Linked DNA regions of Saccharomyces cerevisiae S288C. The protein of the gene in region 3 binds, or shares a complex with, the protein of the main gene of each other region. Each region holds a gene or a part of one and is shown on either strand. Other genes may lie near its edges. The genes, in order: HST2, HAT1, HHF1 and GCN5. A codon is read from its position in the direction of its gene.

What was found.
Region 1: the proteins of HHF1 (region 3) and HST2 are in contact, whole or in part, in a crystal structure (PDB 1Q1A), measured with the Saccharomyces cerevisiae proteins. Residues at the interface, in NP_009563.1 of Saccharomyces cerevisiae: Lys13 (codon at 776), Gly14 (codon at 773), Gly15 (codon at 770), Ala16 (codon at 767), Lys17 (codon at 764), Arg18 (codon at 761), His19 (codon at 758), Arg20 (codon at 755); in NP_015310.1 of Saccharomyces cerevisiae: Arg45 (codon at 1,844), Tyr52 (codon at 1,823), Glu64 (codon at 1,787), Phe67 (codon at 1,778), His135 (codon at 1,574), Val182 (codon at 1,433), Phe183 (codon at 1,430), Phe184 (codon at 1,427), Gly185 (codon at 1,424), Glu186 (codon at 1,421), Asp187 (codon at 1,418), Leu188 (codon at 1,415), Phe192 (codon at 1,403), Ser193 (codon at 1,400), Ser225 (codon at 1,304), Leu226 (codon at 1,301), Ala227 (codon at 1,298), Val228 (codon at 1,295), Tyr229 (codon at 1,292), Pro230 (codon at 1,289), Ser233 (codon at 1,280), Glu237 (codon at 1,268), Gly253 (codon at 1,220).
Region 2: the proteins of HHF1 (region 3) and HAT1 are in contact, whole or in part, in a crystal structure (PDB 4PSX), measured with the Saccharomyces cerevisiae proteins. Residues at the interface, in NP_009563.1 of Saccharomyces cerevisiae: Lys9 (codon at 788), Gly10 (codon at 785), Leu11 (codon at 782), Gly12 (codon at 779), Lys13 (codon at 776), Gly14 (codon at 773), Gly15 (codon at 770), Ala16 (codon at 767), Lys17 (codon at 764), Arg18 (codon at 761), His19 (codon at 758); in NP_015324.1 of Saccharomyces cerevisiae: Tyr37 (codon at 1,923), Asp42 (codon at 1,908), Ser43 (codon at 1,905), Glu44 (codon at 1,902), Ile161 (codon at 1,551), Glu162 (codon at 1,548), Ala163 (codon at 1,545), Ala164 (codon at 1,542), Asn165 (codon at 1,539), Ile167 (codon at 1,533), Asp171 (codon at 1,521), Trp174 (codon at 1,512), Tyr194 (codon at 1,452), Tyr196 (codon at 1,446), Lys216 (codon at 1,386), Ser218 (codon at 1,380), Gln219 (codon at 1,377), Glu255 (codon at 1,269), Asp256 (codon at 1,266), Pro257 (codon at 1,263), Asn258 (codon at 1,260).
Region 4: the proteins of HHF1 (region 3) and GCN5 are in contact, whole or in part, in a crystal structure (PDB 1E6I), measured with the Saccharomyces cerevisiae proteins. Residues at the interface, in NP_009563.1 of Saccharomyces cerevisiae: Ala16 (codon at 767), Lys17 (codon at 764), Arg18 (codon at 761), His19 (codon at 758), Arg20 (codon at 755); in NP_011768.1 of Saccharomyces cerevisiae: Pro351 (codon at 3,958), Phe352 (codon at 3,961), Val356 (codon at 3,973), Val361 (codon at 3,988), Asp363 (codon at 3,994), Tyr364 (codon at 3,997), Phe367 (codon at 4,006), Cys403 (codon at 4,114), Arg404 (codon at 4,117), Met405 (codon at 4,120), Tyr406 (codon at 4,123), Asn407 (codon at 4,126), Gly408 (codon at 4,129), Glu409 (codon at 4,132), Tyr413 (codon at 4,144), Tyr414 (codon at 4,147).

Annotation. Positions count from the first base shown.
Region 1 is NC_001148.4:524,908-529,614, forward strand, and holds HST2 (histone deacetylase HST2), read right to left. Parts: upstream 1,977-4,707; coding exon 903-1,976; downstream 1-902. Other genes in the region: SWI1 (Swi1p), read left to right, coding at 1-51; CIP1 (Cip1p), read left to right, coding at 2,640-3,785; mitochondrial 37S ribosomal protein bS16m MRPS16, read right to left, coding at 4,078-4,443. UniProt on the Saccharomyces cerevisiae protein: NAD-dependent histone deacetylase that is involved in nuclear silencing events. Derepresses subtelomeric silencing and increases repression in nucleolar (rDNA) silencing. Its function is negatively regulated by active nuclear export.
Region 2 is NC_001148.4:551,977-556,635, reverse strand, and holds HAT1 (histone acetyltransferase catalytic subunit HAT1), read right to left. Parts: upstream 2,032-4,659; coding exon 907-2,031; downstream 1-906. Other genes in the region: citrate (Si)-synthase CIT3, read right to left, coding at 1-259; ESCRT-II subunit protein SNF8, read left to right, coding at 2,308-3,009; ULA1 (Ula1p), read right to left, coding at 3,228-4,616. UniProt on the Saccharomyces cerevisiae protein: Catalytic component of the histone acetylase B (HAT-B) complex. Acetylates 'Lys-12' of free histone H4 in the cytoplasm. The complex is also found in the nucleus, however it is not certain that it modifies histone H4 when packaged in chromatin.
Region 3 is NC_001134.8:254,873-258,844, forward strand, and holds HHF1 (histone H4), read right to left. Parts: upstream 813-3,972; coding exon 501-812; downstream 1-500. Other genes in the region: HHT1 (histone H3), read left to right, coding at 1,459-1,869; inorganic diphosphatase IPP1, read right to left, coding at 2,240-3,103. UniProt on the Saccharomyces cerevisiae protein: Core component of nucleosome. Nucleosomes wrap and compact DNA into chromatin, limiting DNA accessibility to the cellular machineries which require DNA as a template.
Region 4 is NC_001139.9:993,962-998,688, forward strand, and holds GCN5 (histone acetyltransferase GCN5), read left to right. Parts: upstream 1-2,907; coding exon 2,908-4,227; downstream 4,228-4,727. Other genes in the region: NOP19 (Nop19p), read left to right, coding at 1,678-2,268; PUP2 (proteasome core particle subunit alpha 5), read right to left, coding at 4,397-4,727. UniProt on the Saccharomyces cerevisiae protein: Histone acetyltransferase that acetylates histone H2B to form H2BK11ac and H2BK16ac, histone H3 to form H3K9ac, H3K14ac, H3K18ac, H3K23ac, H3K27ac and H3K36ac, with a lower preference histone H4 to form H4K8ac and H4K16ac, and contributes to H2A.Z acetylation.

The DNA.
Region 1 (4,707 bases), on a different chromosome or scaffold from region 3:
TATCAATTACTTTACAATTTAAAAAATGATATCCTAACCAATTTGGAATGATGCGATTTTTTTAAACAATATTCTTTTACTGCTTATTTCTTCCTTGCGCACTATTTTCTTTTTATAAACCTATATAAAATGTTGTAACTAATATAATAGACCTTATGGAAACAATACAGTCGGAAGAGCGCCTTTAGTGCCAAAAGCCCAAATGAACGTATAGCTGCCATGAAGTCACATCTTGGGCGGCTCAACTAAACAATGGTTTTAGTAACTTCCCACTGGTCCCGTCGCGGCTACAAAAATTCCTTGAAATTGTATAAAGGAGTTTATGACTCCATTTCAGGCAGTAAATACAATTCATACACACCACACATACATTCAGAGTTAACGTTCGCTATAATAAAACGGTAGAGAGTCAGATGTGGAGTCAGCGTGGGGGGTGGGGTAACACTCCACCTTTGAAAACGGTGTGACTTCGCCCTTTCGATGGGAGGAGGTAAAGCTCAAATAGGACAGAATCATCCAAGAAAATTTCAAGCTGCCCACAAAGTCAAGATCGCTTCAGAAGCTGTTCGGCGCAGTATTGAGATGAATTGGCTGCATTGACGGTTCGGGAACCCATTCTACTTATCTATATATTCTGAGTACTTATCCAGAAAGAGAAAAAAGTCAGCTGGCGCCGTATTTTTTATCAAACCTAATTGGCTAAAGTAGAATTGCACGTCAGAGCTTACAAATTTTTCGATATCTATAAGGGGGTGGGGGGAAAGAATATGTATGCAATGTCAAACGCGTAGGAAAGCCAAGCTCAATTACGCGTCTCTTTTATTTTTAAACTATCAAATTGCCGCGCATGCTAGATGAATAAGGAAAAAAAAAGGGGGACGGAAAACATTGCAACCAACACATTATTCTTTAGCGGCTTTTTGTGAAGAAGAGGAGTTGCTTGCTCCATCTTCATCGCTGTCATGGCCATTGAGACGCTGTAGCTTCTTATCCTTCTTGTCTGCACTCTCATGTTCAGATTGATCCAAACTCAAATTCTCTAAATCATGTACAATTTCAAGTAATTGCTCTTTAGAGTTATCCCCCATTCCACCTTGGGCCGTAAGTATCTTTTCGAAATCTTCTTGCCAACCTAATTCTTCAACGAGTTGCTCGGCAAACTCATCCGAGTACTGATGAACTATTAAATCTGTAGGCCTCTTGTTAGCTTTAAAATCGCCCACCGTTTCCAAATTGCACAGAACTCTTTTTACCTTTCGAGGAATTTCTTCGGGCAGAGACGCAAAGGGATAAACGGCTAGTGAGGTGCCAACGACGATGACAAGAGGCTGCTGAGGATGTTTTCCAGATGTCGTGATTTTTTCACGAAGCCACTCTGAATCGTTTAACCAAGTTTCCGAAAAGGAATCCGGTAGATCTTCGCCAAAAAAAACTATTGCCGGCTTTACCAGTTCACCGCACACATCACACTTGACAAAATCCTTTATAGGATGCTCTGCCAGCTTGGATTTGAAAACCTGTGGGGGATAAACTTTACCACATCCGATACAATGACAGTGAGCAAAACTGCCATGGGCCTCGATGATCAGATCATCCTTAACACCGGCCTGTCTTTCTAAAGTGTCTATATTCTGGGTATATACTCTCTTCAAAACGTCTTTGTCTTGAAACAATTTCAAAAGATAGTGAAACTTAGAAGGTCTGAAATTTCCGGGATACAACTCTTTAGCCAAAGTGTAAAATGGCAAAGGATCCGATTGGAAAAAATCGACATCGAACACTGCTTCAGGGTACGGCAACTTCAACCTGGCCAAGTTATGGTACAGGCCAGTTCCCGGAGATCGGAAGTCTGGTATCCCACAAGAAGTGGATATCCCGGCACCCACCATAAAGATTACTTTAGCGTTGGGGTTGCTTTTCATATGAGCAGCGATCTTCCTAACCGACATCTCTGTAGAGGCGGTAGAAACAGACATCGAAACACGGAGAGATCGCGGTACGTCTGGTTGGTAGCTCAGTGACGGGCACAGATAGCGACATTTACTGATACAGAGACAGTTACGAAAGATGGAAACACATGCAGAGAATGTGGTCTATTCCTTATTCTTAAGATCGGCGAAGCTAACAGAGTTAATGCTGGGCCATAGCTGGACGGCAGAAAGCACGCAGGCAGGGGGCCTCTGCGTAGGGCGGGAGACGCCTCCGTAAGGAAAACGGCGCGGGAAGGGCGGCTTCTTACTACATTTTTTTGCCACTCCGGAACTCGCGCAGGGGGAAGACATATGCCCACTTTGGGAAATAGAAATGGTCATTTTAAGCTCAAGTGAAGCGAAAAAAGGAGGTATACTCCTTTACGCGTCACCCAATCTGGATAGGCACGTCAAACTCATTAGGTCTCATCAAGAACTAGTGTAGAAATGACGCTTGAACTCCGAACTTTAAACAAAGTTCTGTTTTTGTTTCTGTTTCTGTTTCCTGTTGCTGTCTCTGTTTCTATTTTTTTCGTATAGCTCTATTTCCCTTGTAGATAAACATATATAAGAATGCTATTATAGAAGCGTGTATTTTCCTCCCCCTAGCTTCAACCTGTAATTCCCTTCTTAGTAAAGCGAACTAGAACCAGTTTAATAGGATATAGAATGCTGCTGGAAAGATTGCACAAGAGATTACACGCCGGCTCTTCTAGGCGATCTCAAGAAAATAAGGACAAGAATTGCAAGCCCGAAGACGCGTTGCCCATCCAACCAGAAGCTCAACATCAAACTCAGGACCCTCAGCCGTTGTTAAATTGTGATTACGATGACATGATTGCATTTGACAGAAACTTGTCCACTCCCGTTTTCACTCCGGTAATGACTCCTATAAATAATAGCAGCTCCAATCAGGCGAAAAGCTCGGATGCCTCGTATTTTCCACCTTACCTCAATGCTAATAGAACCAGACAGAATAGCGCCTCTTCGCTGGCGAGTTCCGTTTCCGATTTCGCTCAGAATTTCAAACAACATACCTTTTACAACAATAACGCTCAATTCACTTCGTTCACACCGCAGTTTGTCGGCCTTCTATTAGAAGTTTACCAAAACACGTGCAGCGATCCTACGATAACTCCGTTTGATACTACAAACCCTCCCTCAGGAATATTGAATAGAGTTGCCAAAGCGGCTATACAGCAATCTGAGCTTCAACAATTGGATATCGGATGTGACAGAAATAGCTGGCTTTTAACATTGGTAAGACAGCGCTTGTTGCAAGAGGTCAGAAAAGACGGCTATCTTTCTCGTAACACTTCTTTAACTTCTTTACCCCCACCACCCCCACCACAGTTTTCTGAAATGCTTAGAGTTCCCTCCCCGTTTGTTAACGCAGATATTACCGATCCAATCCCCTTATCAAACACAAACTCGAATCCGAATGTAAGCTCTACTACCAGCCTGACCAACACGTTGAACTGGTATTCCTTACAAAGATCCAACGTCTCAATGAAGAATAGAAATGGCTCGTCCCAGTATATTTCAGAATTACAACCACAACCTATCTTAGCCCGCACAAATTCTAACAATAGTGTTAGCAACAGTAATGCCTTTTCTTTACTCACGCCAACGCCTACAACAGATTCCGCATTTAATTTTAACATAGCTCTGCTATCGAGACAACGTAGCAATATCATATCGTCCCCCTTAGCTAGTACTCGTTTACCTACAGCAAACGTGTCCACTGAAGAATCCTCTATTTTACCAAATGAATCATTGAAGCTAAAAAGAGATTTATTGCGTCTTAAAAGGTAAATAGTGCCGAACAGTCAGGAGCACACAATACATGACCTATAATGACACTATCTTAATGAAATTCTATTACACTTTCTCTTTTCTTCACATTCGATTAAGAATTTAATTTATTCCATTTCAAGTCTCATTCTCCATTTTCTGGTTGGCCATAGATGTATTATTTACAAGTCTGATAGATATAAAAGCGCCAAGTAAAACATATATACAACATATACATATACACCTCGCATCAATTAAAACACGTTCCTTTGCTTTCCTTTCTTTTTCTTTTTTTTTTTTTTTCCGATCTTTTTCACTCCAATGTTTCCATTCTTTCAAATACAACTTTCCTATTCACATTGCTGTTCTTACTAGTGGCCCATGCATCATTTAATATACCAGCCTTTCGTAATAGTTTAGTAACTGTTTCGCTAGGTTGTGCTCCCACACCAATCCAATATTTTGTTCTATCAAAATCAAGCTTCACGTCTTTAATAGGTACAACGCCCCTCTTCAATTCTCTCTTGGTCACTGGGCTGGGTACCGGCACGTAGGTTCCTAGTACCTCGATCGGTTTAGCATCCCTCGCCTTACGGGAATTAGCCACTACGATATTATAGACCGGACTATTTTTTCTTCCAAATCTAGCTAACCTTATTCGTACTAGACCACAGGTCATACTTGATAAACTCTATTACAATTTCTTAACGGAATACCAGTCAGAACTCCTCCGTTACTTAAGTCGTGTATATATTCCCCTTCCTTTTTTCTTACAACTGTTCTTGGTGTACTATTTCATTTTTTCCGTCCTGAATGATAGATGATCATAATTAGTGAAAATTTTTCTTTTCGCTGCAGTGTTTAAAATTTTAATTATATCATCTCATCTCATCGCGCAATTAGAACTTCCTCGGTCGCAGTTAATTCTCTCAGAGAAGAGTTT
Region 2 (4,659 bases), on a different chromosome or scaffold from region 3:
TGCCATGTTCGGGATCTAATGATGTTCCTTGCCAAAACATTGACTGATTACCTCTCATCCCACCTAGAACTGATGAAATGGTAATCGGTCCGACAAACGTGCTGCCATAACAGGCCTTCAATTTCTTCACAGCATCTCTTTTCTTAGGTATCACGTTTTCTAATGCTTCCTTGAGAGTCAATGCAGAAGACTTTATAATTGCAGACGAATTGAAGGACCTTCTGCATATATGTGCGCCCGGTAGAAGCCTTTGTACCATTTTGTATTCAATTATTTAGCGGCGTCTATGTATAAATTCTTGATCAAATACGATCTTTTTTTTATGATTAGAATGCTTGACAAGCCAGTCATCTTAAATACATAGGGATGAAAAAGCTTTATCTCCTATTTAAGGTCATCCATTTTCAGTGTGGAGTAAGTCATCAAAACTGCTATTTAGCCGCTTTGCCGATTTCGCTTTAGAACCGCTACCATGGTGTGTCACTTCCCCAATTTTATTTTTCTGTTCAAATTGTTTGCTCATAGAAATATTTATGTTTTTTTGTCTTTCAACTGAATAATATTTCTATTTTCGGAAATCTTAACCAACAAAAAACAATTTTTTATTTTTGTTTAATTTAAAGAAAAAAATTATTTTTATAATTAAAAAAAATTAAAAATAAAAAATATATCATGTGATCTATTTGTGATCACTACCATGATAAGAAATTTTATATCAGTCAAGATAATCTCTTTAATATAACCTGTAATTTAGAATTACGACAACATAACGGCTTCAACCTTTGCATAAGCTTATATTAACTATAGAGACACTTTGATGATCATCTCGATGATGTATTTATAAAAGAATTTCTTATTTCAGGCTTGTTAAACAAATAAATATGTTATTATATATTTAATAAACAGTTAACCTTGAGATTTATTTATCGACTCTATAATACGCCTATAATCATCTTTGACTAAAATAAATGAATTTTGTAAAGCTTCTCTTGCCTTTTCTGGATCAGTTTGATCTAGGGCATCATAATTTTTAATGTACAACCTATTCTTTACCTTTAATTCAAATGATGGAGAATTGTTTAAAAGAAGAAGCATTTCCACAAGACGATTAAACTGTCTTTCTTCCAGTTTTAAAGATTTTCGGCTTGACTCCAAAAACTCATCAGAAAGGTCGGAGTGCTTCTGAAAGACAGCATCATAACCAAGTTTTCGCAGTCTTTGAATATCATTCCTGTCGCGAAGATCGTCAAATGCTTCGTTTGGATCCTCTACAGTAATTTCAGTAATACTTTTGTCTTCTAGCCAAGATTGGATTATAGCCTCATAAAGACAGGATCCGTGGCCTTTATTTTGATAAGGTGGAAAGATCAGAAATTGAGATATTTTGGCTCTGAATTTTTTATCTATATCCTCATCGAAAGATTTTGCTCCAAGGTAGTGCCAATACTTGTAAGTAGTGACGAAACCAATCAATTCTTTTGTTTTCTTGTTCAACAACCAATAGATTTGCCAACTCGGGTCAGTCTCATCTATATAGTTAGCGGCTTCGATAAAAAGTAATGAAAAGATTTGAACACGACGATGCATTCTCCTGGCAAAATCGTCAACCAAACTCGATTTATATACAACAAATTCTTCCCCATTCAACGAATACTCTGATACTTTTTCAAAAACATCAGATAAATTATGTGTTTTTCGTTCTTCTGCAAAGCAATCTACCCATTTAGCTTCATCCCTAACAATTACATCATCCTTTGGTAGAAATGAGAGTAATTTTTTTTCCACGTCTACAATATTGTCGTCTCCTAATTTTGCTGAATACTTGACGTTAACATACGGCTTGAATGTTACTGAATCAAATGCTAGGTGGATGATGAGATCCTTATAGCCGTAGATCTTTTCGGAGTCACCGTAAATTGGATACGTGAATAATGGTGAAAACTGAACAGCGTTTTCTCCAACTATAGAAACTCTTAAGGCTTCGTTGGCGCTTGAAGTCCACGTTTCAGGCTTGAAATCATTGGCAGACATATTCTTGATTCTCACTATAGTTATAGCTTAAGCATAATTTTGCTGAAAACAATTCCAGAAAGATCTATTCCTAACTTCAAGTAGAAATACATAGAAATCTAATAAATTCGTTATTCGAAGACAATATATTTATCACTTATAACGGTGTGCTATTTCAAGAACTTAATCCATCAATTCTGGGATATATTATAACCTTTTGAGGCGATGCAGTAGACCAAAGACTTTACCACGACTTGAAAATGCTTGGCGTAACAGCCAACTTCGAAACTCACTAACATGAAACAGTTTGGACTGGCAGCCTTTGACGAGTTGAAGGATGGAAAGTACAATGACGTAAACAAAACCATACTTGAAAAGCAATCTGTCGAACTAAGGGACCAATTAATGGTATTCCAAGAACGACTGGTAGAATTTGCCAAGAAACACAATAGCGAGCTTCAAGCTTCACCTGAATTCCGCTCAAAATTCATGCATATGTGCTCATCTATTGGGATTGATCCCCTATCTTTATTTGATCGAGATAAGCACTTATTTACAGTGAATGATTTTTATTATGAAGTATGTCTTAAAGTTATAGAAATTTGTCGGCAAACTAAAGATATGAATGGAGGCGTCATTTCTTTTCAAGAGTTGGAGAAGGTGCATTTTCGTAAGCTGAATGTTGGACTCGATGATTTGGAAAAATCTATCGACATGCTAAAGAGCCTAGAGTGTTTTGAGATATTTCAAATTCGCGGCAAAAAGTTTTTACGAAGTGTTCCAAATGAGTTGACATCAGATCAAACAAAGATTTTGGAAATATGCTCAATTCTGGGCTACTCAAGTATCTCTTTATTAAAGGCAAACTTGGGATGGGAGGCTGTTAGGAGTAAATCTGCTCTTGATGAAATGGTCGCTAACGGTTTATTGTGGATTGATTATCAAGGTGGTGCAGAGGCGTTGTATTGGGATCCCTCTTGGATTACGAGGCAACTGTGAGATAGTTGACTTGAACAGGAATGGTGGATGAGCGTTAAGTATTTATCGATGTTGTATTTTATTGAGCACAGTTCTTACCGGTGATCTCTCGTTGTTGTAAACATTCGATATCATATGCATCATAAAAGTTTACATTTAGTCTTTATTTGCATCAACGCAAACCAGGGAAGTACAATAAAATAAGCATTCTATGAACTCGGAGAGCTGACGAAAAAATTTTATATTTTATATGTTGCGGATGAATTATTAATGCCATTATATAAAAATAGGTTATCAATAGGAACGTAATGGTGTGTGATAAGCTTTATAGCCTCTTGAACCACTGCACCTCCAAAAAAGGCCATTACGGAATAGTTATCGTCGACTCGTAAACCAATAAACTCATCTTTATCCTCTGCAGTTACTGCCGGTTGCTCCCAGAATTGGACCATAACTAATGCATCTAAAAGGGCATTCGAGGTGCTAAAAATACCTAACAAGTCACTTTTTGGCGGCAATATTTTCCTGACCTCCCCGTAATGAGAACAAAATGTCTCCAAGACATCCTGTGAAACTATTTTTTTACTGCGAGCCAAACTTTCCTCCACACGAGACTTGTCAAGCTTTGCTTTTACTTCATACAGTTTCTTGAGTCTGATATAATTTTCCGTTGTTGACTCCATATCTGGGAGAGTGCCCGTTAAAGGTTGAAAGCTGAGCTCCCCATTCTCTTTAGCAATATTTTTCAAAGTCAATAATAGTGTGAGAATCTCGTAGTTATAAGTATCATGCCAATCGTTCCCATAATCTGATATTTCCAAATTTCGGAGCAGATCTTCCAGTTCTTTACAACAATCATTTTGAGAGCAGGCCAAGTAAGCATAGCGTTTAGCTTCCACATAATTGGGTTCGTAGATAACATCATTCCCTAAAGGAAGGCAAATTTGGTCTAAAACTTTCTTCATCTGATCAATCGTTATCCTCCCATTATTACCATCCCTTTCAAGTTTTGCAATACACTTCATGAGCAAAACAGTATATGGAATACCAGAAAACGTGGCTGTATCCATTTTACTTAGGTCAAATGTATCTACGTAATTTATTAGTTCAGGCCAAGGGTTCTGTAACCGTAAATCATACTTCTTACTATCTGGGTGTGCTTGCAAAACAAAATGTGTTTCTGAGAGTACCAGATATATATATCCATAAAATCCAGAGACGAAAGTGTTTAGAACAGGCGGAAACTTTGTTCCTCTCTGCCGCCTAATCTCATTTAAATCGAGCATCGCAGTTTGCTCACCAATACAAGTCAAGATCACCACCGAGAAGCGGGTCCAATCATACTGAGGTTGCTGTAACGTCTTTCTAAGGTCATTTTCCTCATATTCTAGCTGTTTAGAAGCCAATGGCTCAAGATCTTTTTTAAGCTCTGCTAAAAACAGAGAACCCGATTGAACTGCACACTCTACTTTGAGCCAAGTAAGAGATGATATTCCGGCAAGCACCAGATTCTTAAAAACTTCCTGCAGCAAAGGTGTAGCAGGTCCTACCACGCACACACGGGACCGGTTCAAACTATCTTGGCCCAATGCTCCCCATAGTCTCAGCTGTCTATCATATCTTTCCATATTTTCATCTACGGCTGTCTAGTTGGCCTAAGAAAGAAAGAGA
Region 3 (3,972 bases):
ACCACACACGAAAATCCTGTGATTTTTCATTTTACTTATCATTAATCGAATGTATATCTATTTAATCTGCTTTTCTTGTCTAATAAATATATATGTAAAGTACGCTTTTTGTTGAAATTTTTTAAACCTTTGTTTATTTTTTTTTCTTCATTCCGTAACTCTTCTACCTTCTTTATTTACTTTCTAAAATCCAAATACAAAACATAAAAATAAATAAACACAGAGTAAATTCCCAAATTATTCCATCATTAAAAAATACGAGGCGCGTGTAAGTTACAGACAAGCGATCCCTATTCCATGCAAGTTCGGTAAGTAGCAGAAATAATCAAACTGTTTAAACCCAATTAAAATTAAATTAAATACCCTTTATATGTTTATAATTGTACATATTTCTCCTAAACCCGCTATAATACACTCATATTTGTAGAAGAAAAACCGGGCAGTTGAATACGAATCCCAAATATTTGCTTGTTGTTACCGTTTTCTTAGAATTAGCTAAATTAACCACCGAAACCGTATAAGGTTCTACCTTGTCTCTTCAAAGCATAAACAACATCCAAAGAAGTAACAGTCTTTCTCTTGGCGTGTTCGGTGTAGGTAACAGAGTCTCTGATGACGGATTCCAAGAAGGATTTCAAGACAGCTCTGACTTCTTCGTAGATCAAACCAGAAATACGCTTGACACCACCTCTTCTAGCTAATCTTCTGATAGCTGGCTTAGTAATACCTTGGATGTTATCTCTTAGAATCTTTCTGTGACGCTTGGCACCACCTTTACCTAGACCTTTACCACCTTTACCTCTACCGGACATATTTTACTATATTATATTTGTTGCTTGTTTTTGTTTGTTGCTTTAGTACTATAGAGTACAATAATGCGACGGAAACCATCATATAGAAAAAATATCTCGGTATTTATAGGAAAAAGAATTAGACCTTTTCCACAACCAATTTATCCATCAAATTGGTCTTTACCCAATGAATGGGGAAGGGGGGGTGGCAATTTACCACCGTATTCGCGGGCATTTGCTAAAGTAAACAACTTCGGTTTTTACCACTAACCATTATGGGGAGAAGCGCTCGGAACAGTTTTACTATGTGAAGATGCGAAGTTTTCAGAACGCGGTTTCCAAATTCGGCGGGGAGATACAAAAAAGATTTTTGCTCTCGTTCTCACATTTTCGCATTGTCCCATACATTATCGTTCTCACAATTTCTCACATTTCCTTGCTCTGCACCTTTGCGATCCTGGCCGTAATATCTCTCCTTGACTTTTAGCGTGGAAGATAACGAAATGCCCGGGCGATTTTTCTTTTTGGTACCCTCCACGGCTCCTTGTTGAAATACATATATAAAAGACTGTGTATTCTTCGGGATACATCTCTTTCCTCAACCTTTTATATTCTTTCTTTCTAGTTAATAAGAAAAACATCTAACATAAATATATAAACGCAAACAATGGCCAGAACAAAGCAAACAGCAAGAAAGTCCACTGGTGGTAAGGCCCCAAGAAAGCAATTAGCTTCTAAGGCTGCCAGAAAATCCGCCCCATCTACCGGTGGTGTTAAGAAGCCTCACAGATATAAGCCAGGTACTGTTGCTTTGAGAGAAATCAGAAGATTCCAAAAATCTACTGAACTGTTGATCAGAAAGTTGCCTTTCCAAAGATTGGTCAGAGAAATCGCTCAAGATTTCAAGACCGACTTGAGATTTCAATCTTCTGCCATCGGTGCCTTGCAAGAATCTGTCGAAGCCTACTTAGTCTCTTTATTTGAAGATACCAACTTGGCTGCCATTCACGCCAAGCGTGTCACTATCCAAAAGAAGGATATCAAGTTGGCTAGAAGATTAAGAGGTGAAAGATCATAGTTTGTTGATTGTCATCAGTTTTAGTAAAAAACGAACAAAAACACAATAAAATATAAATCAATATATTTAGGTTTACTGGGTTCTTTAACAGTTGTATAATAGTTATTTTTTATTACAAAAATATAGGTTTTAATAAAAAAAAATAGGGTTCTATTTGTTTTACATTTATTGATTTGTTTTTCCTGGCGATACCCTCGAAAAAAGCCAGGCCTTGTAGGAGGCAAGATTTATGGCTTTCCATGTGGTTAAAGAAAAATTGCAGCAGGAAGATATTCATTCATGAGTCAGTTATATAATCGATATATAGCTACATATTAAACAACTTGAAGCCGCATACGTGGTAGGTGTCTCATTTTCAATTCAAAATATTTTAAACAGAACCGGAGATGAAGAACCACTTGTCAATAGACTTGTCAATTGGAGCATCTGCCTTTGGAGAAGCTGGTGGGATGGCATCAGAGGCAGCCTTGGAGTAGGTTGGGGTGTCAGGCAAAGTAACATTGGTCAAATCAATACCCTTGCTGTCAGAAGACTTACCAGCAATTAATTGTTTCCAGGAGTCATGTGTTTCCTTGATGATATCCAAAGCGTACTTCTTGTTCTTAGCTTCACCGGAGAAGGCAAATTGGTTTTCTGGCTTACCATCTGGGATTTTGTAAATTCTGAACCATTCGTTAGTAGCCCTCAACAGACCTGGGAAGTATTTCTCAACATCCTCAATGTCGTTCAATTTTGGGGCTAATGGATCGTTAATATCAATGGCAATAACTTTCCAATCGGTCTCACCTTCATCCAATAAAGCCATGATACCTAGAGCCTTAACTTGCTTGACTTGACCAGTGTAAGCAATAGTTTCACCAATTTCCAACACATCAATTGGATCGTTGTCACCAACTGCCTTAGTTTCTGGGTGGCTTACGTTTGGGTCTTCCCAAGTTTGTGGGAAAGCACCATAGTTGTGAATGTAACCATGGTGAGGGAAACAGTTTCTAACAAATCTCAACTTGCCCTTCTTGGTGTCTTGGATGATTGGGTTCAAAGTTTCTTCCTTGGTGATTTCTAACTTGGCGTTGGTCCAACGTGGAATTTCAACAACCATGTTGAAAATGTTGTTTTCCTTGTCAGCGTACAAGGGAATGTCGTGGAAGGCAGAAACTGGCTTACCATCCTTTTCGATATAAACTTTGTATTCCAAGGTGTTCTTGGCACCAATTTGTCTGGTAGTGTAGGTCATTAGTAAATTGCGCGGCGGGATATCCTGTTCTATAGACCTAAGGGACAACAAATCAAAATAGATGATTAAGAAAGTAAGTATTCAAAAACAAGTTGTAAATGAACTAACCTTCCTAACTTCGACGCGACCTTAAAACGTCGAAAAAAAACGAGAAAAAGTCATCATGAGACTATCGTATCTAATGACTGTGGCTTCTCCCAACAACCTTAGCGTCTGCGATGACGATATTTTGAAGAACAGTCAAATCCGTTTGAATAGTGCGCCACACAGGGATAATAATAGCACATTGGCATCTCCTTCTGTGAATGAAACACTTCTACCTGGGCTTCAAAGTCCCGCAACCTTTTAGTTACATAAAATTCGGCGGCTAAATCATGATATTATATTGATGGGTAATGTAGCGTTCAGTAAAACGGTTCCTATGTATTACTATCACGTGGGTGGGGAAGACCACATTCTTAGAGAAGAGTAATCATTTTAGCAGATTATTTTTACCTTTTTCAACTCATGAACTCATGTTCAAAGGTACAATATATTACCCTTTCTTCAAAGTATCCGAATGATTTGAACCGCACTCTGAGGGAGCCATCAAATTCTATTGAGCGACTTCGAATCGAACAATCCAATTAAATCAGCCTTTAGCGCCATATTTCTCCTTGTATCCATTGTTTACTTCTCCCTTGTATCTTGTATATGAGAATTATGGGAATAAGATAATTGTTGGGATTCCATTGTTTTCAAAGGCTGTAATATTAGGTACACAGATTATACTAGAAGTTCTTTTCGAGGATATAGGAATCCACAAAAGGAAATCGATAGTTATACATAATAATATTATTGTATCTTACTTCCTTTTATATGTTGTCACT
Region 4 (4,727 bases), on a different chromosome or scaffold from region 3:
CAATTTTACGTCTTCGGCTAGTAATCGGATCAGCGGGAGAAACATCGTACGTACACAAGAGAATACCGAGAGTGTCGATTAATCAACCACGCTCCATGAGGCTTATCCGCATTCTACTTGCATGTTAGCCGGGAAAAGACATAAATCATCTCAATTCTCTAGAATACTCTAGAGATTATGTAAAAGCGTAGCCCCGTAGATGATTAAATAATTTTCGGTTTCTTACCCCGTAACCACGAGTTGCGGTGTTTTTGCTTCTATCGGGGCAATAAGCGGGCGCTGCTTCTCGGGAATGTAAAAACTGTGCTTCCTACCATGAAGTAGTTGGATCTTGAAATGGGTTGGGCCGGAACAATATGCAAGTACTACAATCCTTGTATTCCCATATGATTATATTCCCCTTTGCATAGGCTAGTGTTTTTTTTTTCGTTCTTTTGTTTCTTCCGCTAGGAATAGTAGTGGCGATCTGCAGAAAGACGCTCTAAGGAAAAAGAGAGAATTTCGATCAGTCCCGTACACATTACTCTTGGGAAGTTCAATTCCTTCGGACGTAATCCACATACGAACTTGGCTCTCATCTGTTGTCTTCAAGCTGTTGCGGCCCTCCTCTTTCTCTCTGTTGTACACATTTTTTGACTTTCAAAAATATGCCGCTAAGGAAACATAACCCTTGTGTATGTGAGCTTGTAGCATATGATATAGTGCTCATTGGCATGTGACAAGAATTGCGTATGTAATTGAAGTTTGTAGTGTAATTTACGAAAATAGCCGCCCTTCTTCTTCATTAACGATTATTGAGCGTAATGATATAAGATACAACGGTTTATTTAGGGCTGCATCCATGAAAATACTTTGTAATAGTGAGTCGTCGCCTTGTTTGTTTATTCAATACAATGCAGTGTCTCTATAGTCTCCTCCTTTAGTTTCACTATCTTTTCTAACCGCCGAAGATATACGAGTGTTCTGAACGAAAAACGACCTTTTCAAACATAGAATATAATTGTATATATACATATACATATATGATACGCAGCCACATTCGTAGTATCTTTAAGACACTGCCTTTCAAAAAAGCTTTGGTATTTTGAAAGAAGATCGAAGCCAAGGAACCAGGACTACAATGAATTAGACGCTACAAAGTTTCTTAATTGGAAAACAAGGAGGGACAAGGAGGAGACTTTTACAGTAAACCAGAATGCTCCTTCACTGTTCAGTTATGTAATGTTATTGTTTGGAAGATCTGAAGAGAGGCATTTCCTACAACCTCTTGAATAAAATAGTGGAAGGCATTTACACAAAGAAGCCGTGCCACTTTGGTCCGGATTTTTTTTACCTAAAATCGTCTTAAATTGGCCTGTTCGATAGCTGTCATTTGTTTTAGATATTTATTTCCTAACGTCAGCTTTAGTTACAGTATGTATGTATCAACCTTTTAGTAAGACAATAATGATTGCATGTTTGATCCTGCTTTAAAGGCATTGGAAGTAACCGTAGTGGCCGCTGTTTCTTCTTGACGGCCTGTAATTGACCTGCGACGCGGGCAATTTCTAGCGATGAGATTGGAAAAACTAACGCATAAAAAAGATTTCAAGATTTATAAGATGTTGAAACAAATCCTCTTCTCACATCTACAGTTGATACAGTATACCGTATTATCTTTCCTCGGTAGTGTTCAGAATGAGTAGGGCCAAAGAATTACAAGAGAAGCTCAACTTGCAAGCGAAACTCCAGTCTACTTTCAGTAACAATACTGCTGCAGTTTTGGACTGGCTGAAAGAATCAGATGAAACCGGCATTAGCAATGATACAGAGCGTAACAAACAGTTAAAAGATCACAAGGAGTTGGAGGATGGTAAGAAGGCATTTTTCAAGCTTCCCGTTTTGCAGATTGGATCGGGCCTACACTTCCGCACACAAGATGACGCTTCCGCCAAAGAAGATATACATACGATTGGTGAGTTTATTGAGGGTGATAAAAAGGTAAGTTCGTTGGCAAAGAAAAAGAAAAGAAGTGACCCAGGGTTGCAACGAAATAATATGTACAGGATCACTAAAGATGATACGAAAGCCATGATTGCGCTTAAAAGAAAAATGAGGAAAGGCGAGAAGGAAGGACTAAGGAAGAAACAAGAGCATAGCAAAAGCAGCGTTTCGAACTCATATAGTGCCAGTGATGAAGAGGATGAAGATGCAGGGACAATGCCGCAAAAGTCCACAAAAAAAAAATTTGGTTTACTTTTTGATAAAAAAAAGAAGGCACGTAAATAATCTTAAACACTTATGGGCAGCAAAAAATGCGTCTTTCTTCCCTCGTCTGTTGTTTTATGTAGGGCGTAATGATGTTTGCTTGTCAACAAATGAATACGTACAGAAGAGAATTCTAGCCAAGGCAATTATTGCATACTGCAAGTACTGAGTACGTTAACGTTGCTAGAATAACATTAAATGAGATGTAGCAATGCAGATCCTTCCTCAGTAGGCTTAATGCTCCACTAGAATTTTTGACCAGCCACTATTTGCTTTTTTCGCAATCCTTTTCAATACTCGAGAGCAAAGACAAAAAAAATAAGACATGTAGTGCGCTGTATGGAAAAGAATTAATTAGAACTTTACAAACGCGTGTTAAACAGGCATATTTAAGTGTTTGGACCTAAACAATATATCGACTATTGAAATTCTTACGCAAGATTTTTTATAGTTGGATATTCATATATTCTTACAACTCTCTCTACTTTCAGTTTTTTGAAGCTATATGTATCATTATATACGTTTATGGATTTTTCAAACCTAAACAATTATACTGCGTAAATGTTTGATTAAGCAATAAATAAAAACAAAGGATTGGTAAGGGAAGACCGTGAGCCGCCCAAAAGTCTTCAGTTAACTCAGGTTCGTATTCTACATTAGATGGTCACAAAACATCAGATTGAAGAGGATCACTTGGATGGAGCTACGACGGATCCCGAAGTTAAACGGGTAAAATTAGAAAACAACGTTGAAGAAATACAACCTGAGCAGGCTGAGACCAATAAACAAGAGGGCACCGATAAAGAGAATAAAGGAAAGTTCGAGAAAGAAACTGAGAGAATAGGAGGATCTGAAGTGGTTACAGATGTGGAAAAAGGAATTGTCAAATTTGAATTTGATGGTGTTGAATACACATTCAAAGAGAGACCCAGTGTCGTAGAGGAAAATGAAGGTAAAATTGAGTTTAGGGTGGTGAATAATGATAATACTAAAGAAAACATGATGGTCCTAACTGGATTAAAAAACATTTTTCAAAAGCAATTACCAAAAATGCCCAAAGAATACATTGCCAGGTTAGTCTATGATCGAAGTCATCTTTCCATGGCTGTCATTAGGAAGCCATTGACTGTCGTAGGTGGCATAACATATCGACCTTTCGATAAGAGAGAATTCGCAGAAATTGTTTTCTGTGCCATCAGTTCGACGGAACAGGTACGCGGTTATGGTGCGCATCTAATGAATCACTTAAAAGACTATGTTAGAAATACCTCGAACATAAAATATTTTTTGACATATGCAGATAATTACGCTATTGGATACTTTAAAAAGCAAGGCTTCACTAAAGAAATCACGTTGGATAAAAGTATATGGATGGGATATATTAAAGATTATGAAGGTGGTACGCTGATGCAATGTTCTATGTTACCAAGAATACGATATTTGGACGCAGGTAAGATTCTATTATTACAAGAAGCGGCCCTGCGAAGAAAAATAAGAACGATTTCGAAATCGCATATTGTAAGGCCTGGTTTAGAGCAATTCAAAGACTTAAACAATATCAAACCGATTGATCCAATGACTATTCCTGGCTTGAAAGAAGCCGGCTGGACTCCCGAGATGGATGCGTTGGCACAACGTCCCAAGCGTGGTCCACACGATGCAGCAATACAGAATATACTCACAGAGCTACAAAATCATGCAGCAGCTTGGCCCTTCTTACAACCCGTTAATAAAGAGGAGGTCCCCGACTATTATGATTTTATCAAAGAGCCAATGGACTTGAGCACCATGGAAATAAAATTAGAGAGCAACAAATATCAGAAGATGGAAGACTTCATATATGATGCCAGATTGGTGTTTAACAATTGCCGAATGTACAATGGCGAGAATACGTCGTATTACAAGTATGCTAATAGGCTAGAGAAATTCTTCAATAATAAAGTAAAAGAAATACCTGAATATTCTCACCTTATTGATTAATGCGTAGAAGAAGCTTTTCCGCTACTATTCCTTTCGAAGAAGAAATAAATGTTTAGTACGGCGAGACGATGTGATCAATTGAGGTTATTTTACTACTTTTCCTTTCATTTTTGTAAGGTTTTCTTTCTTTGTTAGTGTGACGTTGGTATTTACCTTTATGTAACTATATTTATGACATTTCAACATCCGCTTCTTCTGGACTTTCTGCAGCTTCTTTCTCTTTCAACTCTTTTATCAATTCAGCAGTTTTTTCGTTATCATATATTTTGAATCCGTCTTGCTTTGTTATACAACTCAATTGCGCGTTATTTTCATCAAGTTTCTCTTCCATCACTTGCTTTAGGATTTTTAGAACAAGAAGCTCAGCTTCTTTCAAAGTTAAAGAAGAATGCCATTCATTCAATAATTCTGCTTGTGCTCCTTCAGAGCCTGAACCAATGGCTTTGGCATTATAACGGTAAAATGTCCCAGATGGTTCTGCATGGAAAAGTTGATAACCA